Daphnia pulex: one gene and its partner. The protein of the gene in region 2 purifies or fractionates together with the protein of the main gene of each other region. This does not show direct contact. Links are inferred from orthologs where the notes say so. Each region holds a gene or a part of one and is shown on either strand. Other genes may lie near its edges.

Region 1 (4,032 bases), on a different chromosome or scaffold from region 2:
TGTGAAATGAACCAGTTTGCAATGTTCGTTTGTCAAGCAATCCTTTATTCCTTTGATTGTTATTGCGATACACGAATTTACGACTCCACGACACTACACCTGACTACACATAAGGGGAAGTGGATAAAGTGTGGGTGCGGAATGCAGGACTGCAGGAGTACTTCATGCAGCCTGCTGCCTGCAGGGTTGCTTGTTTTTACTTTTTGTACGCATAAATAGGCCTCAAGCGAGTATGTTCAGTCAGGGTCTCAGGGAGTCAGGTTCAGGATCAGAACTAACATTTCACATTTCGATAAAAGTGATTGAGGCGGCTCGGCTGAAAAGTGAAAACGTTTATAATAATAAAGTTGGCTAAAAATGGTCGCGGGAAAAAACAACTTTTTAAAAACAAGTTCTATTTTTTGTTATACTCTTTTTTAAAAAATGTGAGCCATCTCAAGTTTAGACCATAAATCCATCAATGCTGAACGACAGGGACGATTTTAATCATTTTCCCAGTTGATTTGAACATCGTAATTTAGCGGATGTCTATATGTAGAGTAGCTTTTCTTGTGCGTTTCGCCGTTTCATACGGGAAAATATTGAATCTTCGGAATGGTTTTTACGCATCTTTGTTTGCGATTCATACGTAACGGCGCGCGGCTGATAAGGATAACGGGTTACGTTAGATTTAATAGTCACTAAAAATTGGAGCTTCGTGAATGTTCCCCATAACCTTGCTATTTTGTGAAAATAATTTGTGCTAGTGGTTACAGCACTAGACTGAATACGGTACTCTTGGGTCTGTTGTTTTTCCGCCCCTCGTTATGTCGTTACACAATTAAGCCCCATTACCTCCATTAAGATATTAAGACTGAACAGATAAATGATTTGGCTTAACTACTCAATAAATTAATTTTAATTTATTATATTTTAAATAATTTGACTTGAGAAAACATTCGATTCCCTGTGCTGCTGAATCTGAAATTCCAGAAAATACTTTGAAAATTTGTTGTAACATATTATCGCGATTAAATAATCGATTTTGGTCTTTTAACTCTCGTTATTTTATTTTATAAGATTATAAATACAGTTCATAATGCACTAAAAATTCCAAATGCTTTTGCAATTAGGTTTTTATCGAGTATAGAACAGTTGTTACTAGGCCTATATCAGCATCATTTTATCAAAGCAAAAAGCAAGAAAAAAACGTCTCTTGTTGTTAATCGATCAAAGCAAAAATCGAACGAATTTTGTGCTACGATGCCACACTTTACGTTTATGTAATTTCAGAAGTGCGTCATGCCATTCTTTATGAAAAATTTCCCAACTTTTTAATGCATCTCTTCTAGATTTGGAACAAAAATCAATTTAGTATTCGCGCAGTTACTAGTATGAATACGTTGTTGTGATTGTCATTTTAAAATTGTTGCCTTCGCTTCAGTATACTTGAGGTTGAGGCAGAGGCGCAGAGCTTGAGGTTAAAAGCGGGCAAGCGCTCAACAGATATTTGGAGAGGCGTTGACACGTTGTAAACTGTTGATTCTGGAACCACCTGCAATTAACAATTTAGCGTCAATTATACATCATTTTGGAGAGTGGCAAGTAATAACTTCGAACATCCTGATTCATTGAGGTTTAAAGAATTTAAATTTAATGTGATTGATGACTTATTTTTTTACAATTTCAGATTAGAAGATGTCTGCACTTAACAGCCTTTTCTCATTTACAAGCCCAGCAGTGAAAAAGTTGCTTGGTTGGAAACAAGGAGATGAAGAAGAAAAATGGGCTGAAAAAGCTGTTGACTCCTTGGTAAAAAAATTGAAAAAGAAGAAGGGTGCCATAGAAGAGTTGGAGAAAGCACTTAGTTGTCCTGGACAACCGAGTAAATGTGTTACTATTCCAAGAAGTTTAGATGGTAGATTACAGGTAAAGAGTACTTGATGCTATCTTAAAATTTTGCATCTACTGACTTTTTGTCATTTGTTCTTCATCCTCTAGCTATTTTAATTGTAAAAAGTTACATGTTTCTCAATTGTGTTCCAGGTTTCACACAGGAAAGGTTTGCCTCATGTGATCTACTGCCGTGTGTGGCGTTGGCCTGATTTGCAATCTCATCATGAATTAAAACCCTTAGAAATCTGTGAATATCCATTTTCCTCTAAGCAAAAGGAAGTTTGCATTAATCCTTATCATTACAAAAGAGTTGAAAGTCCAGTGCTTCCACCTGTTCTTGTGCCAAGACATTCAGAATTTGCTCCCGGACATTCACTTTTACCTTTTCAACAGCTACCTGAACCAGCAATGCCTCATAATGTCTCTTACTCAGCTCATGGTTTTGGAAACCAATCTGTTGGCTTAACTCAAGCACCTGGACCTTCAAGCACTAAAAGTATGGAGAGGCCTGTGACAAGTGCATTAAGTACCCTTTCTGTTAGTCCCAATCCTACGTCGCCCATGAGCAATGTTTCAAGTCCTGCCCCAAACAGCCCTTACAACAGTTTACCAGGTCAGAGGAAACATTCATTAAATCATTTTTGTCCAACACTAGAATCTTTTGCATGTATTAATTTGTATGTGTATTTTCATTTGATTTAGCTGAAACTCCACCACCAGCCTACAGTCCCCATGATGAAAATGCTTCATCCCAGGAACCCATGGATACAACACAGGGACCAGTGGGAGACCTTGCTCCTGTGGCTTACCAAGAACCCATATATTGGTGCAGCATTGCTTATTATGAATTGAACTCTCGAGTTGGCGAAGTATTCCACGCCCAATCTCATTCAATAATTGTTGATGGATTTACAAATCCTGATAACAAATCTGATCGTTTCTGTCTTGGTCAACTCTCGAATGTCAATCGTAACTCAACCATCGAAAATACGCGCCGTCATATTGGCAAAGGTTGTATCTAGCATCTAGCTTTATTTACCATGTTTCACTGTGATAATAATAAATTTTATTCCAATTAGGTGTTCACTTGTATTACGTTGGAGGTGAAGTTTATGCCGAATGTCTATCCGACTCTGCTATATTTGTTCAGTCACGTAATTGCAATCACCATCATGGATTTCATCCCACAACTGTATGCAAGATTCCTCCTGGATGTTCCCTTAAAATATTCAACAACCAGGAATTTGCTCAGCTTCTGTCACAATCAGTCAATCATGGTTTTGAAGCAGTCTATGAGCTCACCAAAATGTGCACAATAAGGTAGCTATTAGCACACAATCGCTAAATTGTATTTCATTCATCGACATGTTATGAATTGTCACCTTTCAGGATGTCGTTCGTCAAAGGGTGGGGTGCCGAATATCACCGTCAAGATGTTACAAGTACGCCATGCTGGATAGAAATTCATCTTCATGGACCATTGCAATGGCTGGATAAAGTTCTCACTCAAATGGGCTCACCGCACAATCCTATTTCATCTGTCTCATAAGGCTTTCAACCTGCATCGTGTTTTATCATGGGAATTATTTTGTTTATCAACGACAATCTACGGTAATAAGCAAGGCTGCGTCAGTGTGAGACGAACGTAGATATGTGGCAGCCTTGTTGCGGATATATTTCAATGCCGATAGTCTATTTTTCACTGTTGAACAATTCACACATCAATATTAAATTGTGAGTAAATTTTGCTTTCACCTCCCTTTAATGTAAACTGAAGGGATGCTGCTTTTTTATGTTAACTTCCTTTAGCGACAAGTTTTCGTGTTTTTCATCTATTCGGATAGGGACACCATTATAACATTATGTGCCATATTCTCCGAGTTTGCTCATTTGGATTTGAAGAAAATTCGAAGTGTGGGATCCAACCACTTAAAAAGGGAAACATCAATTTTAAAACAACATTCTTGCTGATTGATTTTTCATGAGGGTGAATGACAATTCTTTGATAATGGTAGAGATTCATTATGTGCTTTGACGTTCAAAATTGTTCTTTAACTATGTACTCGTACCATTTTATTAATAAATGACGAAATCTTATTAGGTTTTATGTGTTCATTTTTTTTTCCCGAATTGGAATAGTCCACCGAGAAGAGCTTT
Region 2 (4,225 bases):
GATTCAACTCATTCAAGGTTTCATTGATTCATTCTTAATGTATACTGGCAAGGTATGTATAGATCATTTGGTTTCACTCCTCAGCAACGACAATAATATTTGCAAGAGAAAAATTACATTGAATCGACAAGTTTGTGAAAATTTGAATTAAACGGTCATGAAAAAAAAAAATCATTATTAAAAACCGCTGATTCAATTCATTGTATTTACACGTTAAAAGAGAATAAAACGATTCCTGGAAGCAATGGAAGAGTAATAACATGAGCAAAGGGAGACGATTGTTTTAGTTAATTAAGACACCCAACAGTTTTGTTTGAATCCGTTTTAAGGCTTGAGGCAACAATTATTAATGGCACGGCAGTTGCAGTGGAGCAATATCAAAACGAAACGACAAACGATTCACATTCAGAAAACCCTTTCACGCGCAAATTATTTACAAACAAACACTTGTCAAAAGAACGCACTAAGAAAAATTTCAGTAATTTTAAGAACACCTTGGTCAAACTTCAGATTCAAAGACTTGCAATGTTACAACAGTGAATTAAACGGATGGTAGCATTTCTTTGTCGTTATACTTTTCGATGTACATGTACATGTCAGATTCGTCGTTGATGCGAGTAAGAGATTTTTTAACGCGTAAAGCCGTCAATCGGGCGGCCGGATTTTGATGCCAACACTCTTGCATCACTTGAGCTAAAGTTTTCAGGGGCTTAAGGGCACAAATAAAAAATATAATTAGGAATATAAAAGTATAGTAGATTATGATTTTAGGCTTACCTCCTCGGTGAGCCAGTGCGGTTGGATATCCGGTCGCACTTTCTTGACACACACCACGTTGTACATGTCATCGAAAGATGGATCAGAAGGAACGCAATCATAGTACGGTTGTTGGTAGTCATCGGGGCCATAGGTGACCAATTTCTCTTGGCTCTCGTCTGTTATGATTTCGCTAACTGTGCTTGAGGCCGTGTTACATCGACGAGCAATCTCCCACAAAACAAGACCGAACGAATAAATATCAGCTGTCTTAAAGGCCTCGAAAGAAAATTTGTTTAAGCTTTCGTCTAACACTTCAGGAGCCATGTAGCGACGAGTTCCGACACGGGTATTTGGTGCAATATCGATCTCTTGGGATTCGCTAAATAATAATAAAAGAAAAAGCATGAGGATTACTCGGTTGTTCGCTTATTTGGCTGTTGAATTCGTACCTTATATATCTGACAGCCAAACCAAAATCAGCAATGGCACATGTCCAATCTCTTTTCACCAAGATATTCTTACTCTTAATATCTCTGTGAGCAATGGCCGGTTTTCCTCTGGTACCAAAGATTTCCGTGTGCAAATGAGCCAATCCGCTAGCGGCAGTAAATGCTAACCTTCCAGCTGCTACTCCGTCAGGAGAATATTGTTGAAGAAAATCGTGTAAAGATCCAAGTTCATGATAGTCGGTAATGAGTAGCATCTGTGTCCAGGAGCCTGTTCCTTTGATATCAGCAGCAATGAAACCTAAAGTTTTTGTTTTAAATTCATAATTAATTTAAAGGGTACCAAATAAAAATATATTTAAAAACTGTACCAAGAATGTGTGAATGTCTCATGAGTACAGTCTGATAAATGTCTGTTTCTCTAAACCAAGAAGCTTCTTCAGTTGTGAAAAACACCTTGACAGCAACCTTTTCTTCCCTCCATTTGGCCATCCAAACTTCACCATATCGGCCTTTACCTATGGAATGGCCCATAACTAACTGCTTGGCTATTGTTCTTTGAACCTAATTAAAAAAACAAAAACAACATGGTTTTAGCTTATTATTAAATTGATAAATTAGATCACAATTTCTTACAAGTAAAGGTAAACCAGAACCAGAACCAGAACTCTGGCTATGGTCCACCATGTCCTTGATTGTTGAATTTCCTCCAAGGTATGGTACACAAGGAGCTTTGATAATGGAAACTTGTCTTTTATCCTCTTTCTTTTTGTAACTGTAAAGTAATAATATTTAAACTTGATAATTTTTCAGAACATTAGATTAAGCAAAACAACTTACTGCAGATAGACACAAACAACCATAACAAACAGAATGATCACACTGGCTGTGACTGAAACTAGTAAGGCCAAATAGTGAACATTTTCATCAGACCCCAACCCTGAATTGGGATCAGGTGTAGTACTGCGTATTTCATACATAGGAGATAGCAATCTGTTGCAATGGTCAGACTGGTAACAACATTGTATTGATTTGGGTACTAAATGAGGAACAAGGTGGCCTTTGCACTGTAATCAAATTCATGAGAAAACTGTAAGTGAAATTCGTTGGTCAAATAAAATGCAAGAACATACTTGCATGAGACCTTTTTCTTCTGGCGGCAAACAGCCATAAGTGTATTCAGGTTCTGGCAAACCTGTGTCAGGATTGTATACCTCTTCCACCGCAGCAAAGCACTGGCTGAAAGGTCTAGCTTCACATGTGCCATTAAAATTGTCATTAGGACAATGCCCTTGACAATAGCATGTGAGACCATATCCTGAAGAGACAAATAAAAACATTGGTAGTTCTAAATATTTCAATAGACAAAAAAAAACATTTTTCCATTCTTTTAAAAAATTTGCAAACGTGTCCTACCGCATCTGATATTTGAAGTCAACACCAGAACCCATAATAAACAACTCTGATATTTTTTGTATGTTTCTAATATGTCAGCCATTTTGCAAAACTTCTCACGGGCACCTCCAAAAAAGAAATCTACAGAACTATGGCGGGTCGGCGGCAGGGTAAGCATCATAAGAATAAGGAAAAGGATTTCTTGAAGAAAAGAAAGAAAAACTTAAGAGGATAGAGACATCTAGCGGTAAGATTAAATATTGATTTCAAAAATTGAAAACAACTGCTGAAAACATCGTTCTTGGTGACGGCATATGATTCGATCTTGGCATTTGCTTGCACTACTTATTTATTTATATACAAAGAACATATTTAGGCCTATACGTATATCTAAATGATCTAAAATATAATTTCGAGAAAACGCTTTCAAATGACCGGTACAGCTTTCTCCATTTTCTTGGGGCAATATACCGACCATCGCGTGATGTTATTATGGTTATGGGCCTATAGATGTAGTATAGCCTCATCCCGTGACGAAAGTATAGAAACCCGTTTAATCGCTAAACTGATCATTTCCTGAATGACCGTCAGCAGGAGCCACGCATCCGGCATTCCGGAACTGCTGTGAATGGCCGCTAGATCCGTACCAAAGTCCATCAGCTTCAAGCAAATTGGCAACTTCCTATAGGTTTTTTTTCACATTAGGCCTACATTTTATTGTTGTTTTTCCTAAATCGTCGTCGGGGTGGGTCGCAAGGATGTTAGGTAATACTTATGTTGTTATTATAACCGTATAAAAAGTTAGTTGCAGTTAAAGTTAAAGTGTATAACTCTTATATTCTCGTCAACATTTCTTCGATTGTTTTAAAACCATTGTGCTTCCCATTGATCGACGCGACCGCCTTAAACACAGTTAGCGGGAATTCTGTTGTGCGTCAATATGGGACGAGGACATCAGTGGCCATGCGAACGTGAATAGAATAACAAAGGGGTCTCTGCTGTGCACACAAGAAAATAAATGTATAAAAAGTCAAGTTTGTGTTGTTACTCACTTTAATGTTGCCGGCAACGGGAGGATTTACGAGCGCAGTTGTCGTTGGCAACGAAATTAGTAACAGGGAAAGCGAGAAAGAGTATTTAACAATTCTTATTTGTACGTCTGACGTCAAAACACGTTCAAGTGGCAGATACTAACGCATTTGTAGAATATATAACTTTTGAAACGGGTTTAGTCAATTTTTTTTATTTACCATTAGACTGATGACTATACAGGCCAGTTTTTCTCCGGAAAACGAAACTAAGGCTCTTTGTTTGCATCCGGTGTATATACGTAGGATATACAGGCTGTATATCCTGCTCTATAATACAGCATAGGGTCGTTCATCAGGAACATCACCCAAGCGAACACAACAACAACAACAAAATCATTTTTCTTTTCCTTTATTAATTCATCTTGCAATAAAAAAGAAAAGAAATAATCGTCTTAGGATAAAATATATTATAACCTATAAGAACCGGAAATAGTCTTATATAGGTCCTATGTATTTATACCACAGCCCATAAACTTATTTTTACACTCAAACGAATATATATACGCTATAACTAATATAGTTGGTGGTGCTTGG

What was found. The genes of interacting proteins can lie anywhere in the genome.
Region 1: the proteins of bone morphogenetic protein receptor type-1B-like (region 2) and protein mothers against dpp-like purify together in Drosophila melanogaster (affinity purification with western blotting; 3 studies listed by BioGRID). This does not show direct contact. The link is inferred for Daphnia pulex from reciprocal best matches to the Drosophila melanogaster genes tkv and Mad.

What each region holds. Positions count from the first base shown.
Region 1 is NC_060025.1:5,191,140-5,195,171, forward strand, and holds protein mothers against dpp-like, read left to right. Parts: upstream 1-1,232; 5' UTR 1,233-1,584; exon of another isoform or gene 1,585-1,615; intron 1,616-1,669; 5' UTR 1,670-1,677; coding exon 1,678-1,908; intron 1,909-2,025; coding exon 2,026-2,488; intron 2,489-2,577; coding exon 2,578-2,886; intron 2,887-2,954; coding exon 2,955-3,195; intron 3,196-3,264; coding exon 3,265-3,424; 3' UTR 3,425-3,972; downstream 3,973-4,032.
Region 2 is NC_060020.1:1,950,213-1,954,437, reverse strand, and holds bone morphogenetic protein receptor type-1B-like, read right to left. Parts: upstream 2,801-4,225; 5' UTR 2,782-2,800; coding exon 2,622-2,781; intron 2,524-2,621; coding exon 2,339-2,523; intron 2,273-2,338; coding exon 2,046-2,272; intron 1,981-2,045; coding exon 1,842-1,980; intron 1,770-1,841; coding exon 1,577-1,769; intron 1,507-1,576; coding exon 1,209-1,506; intron 1,139-1,208; coding exon 778-1,138; intron 710-777; coding exon 542-709; 3' UTR 187-541; downstream 1-186.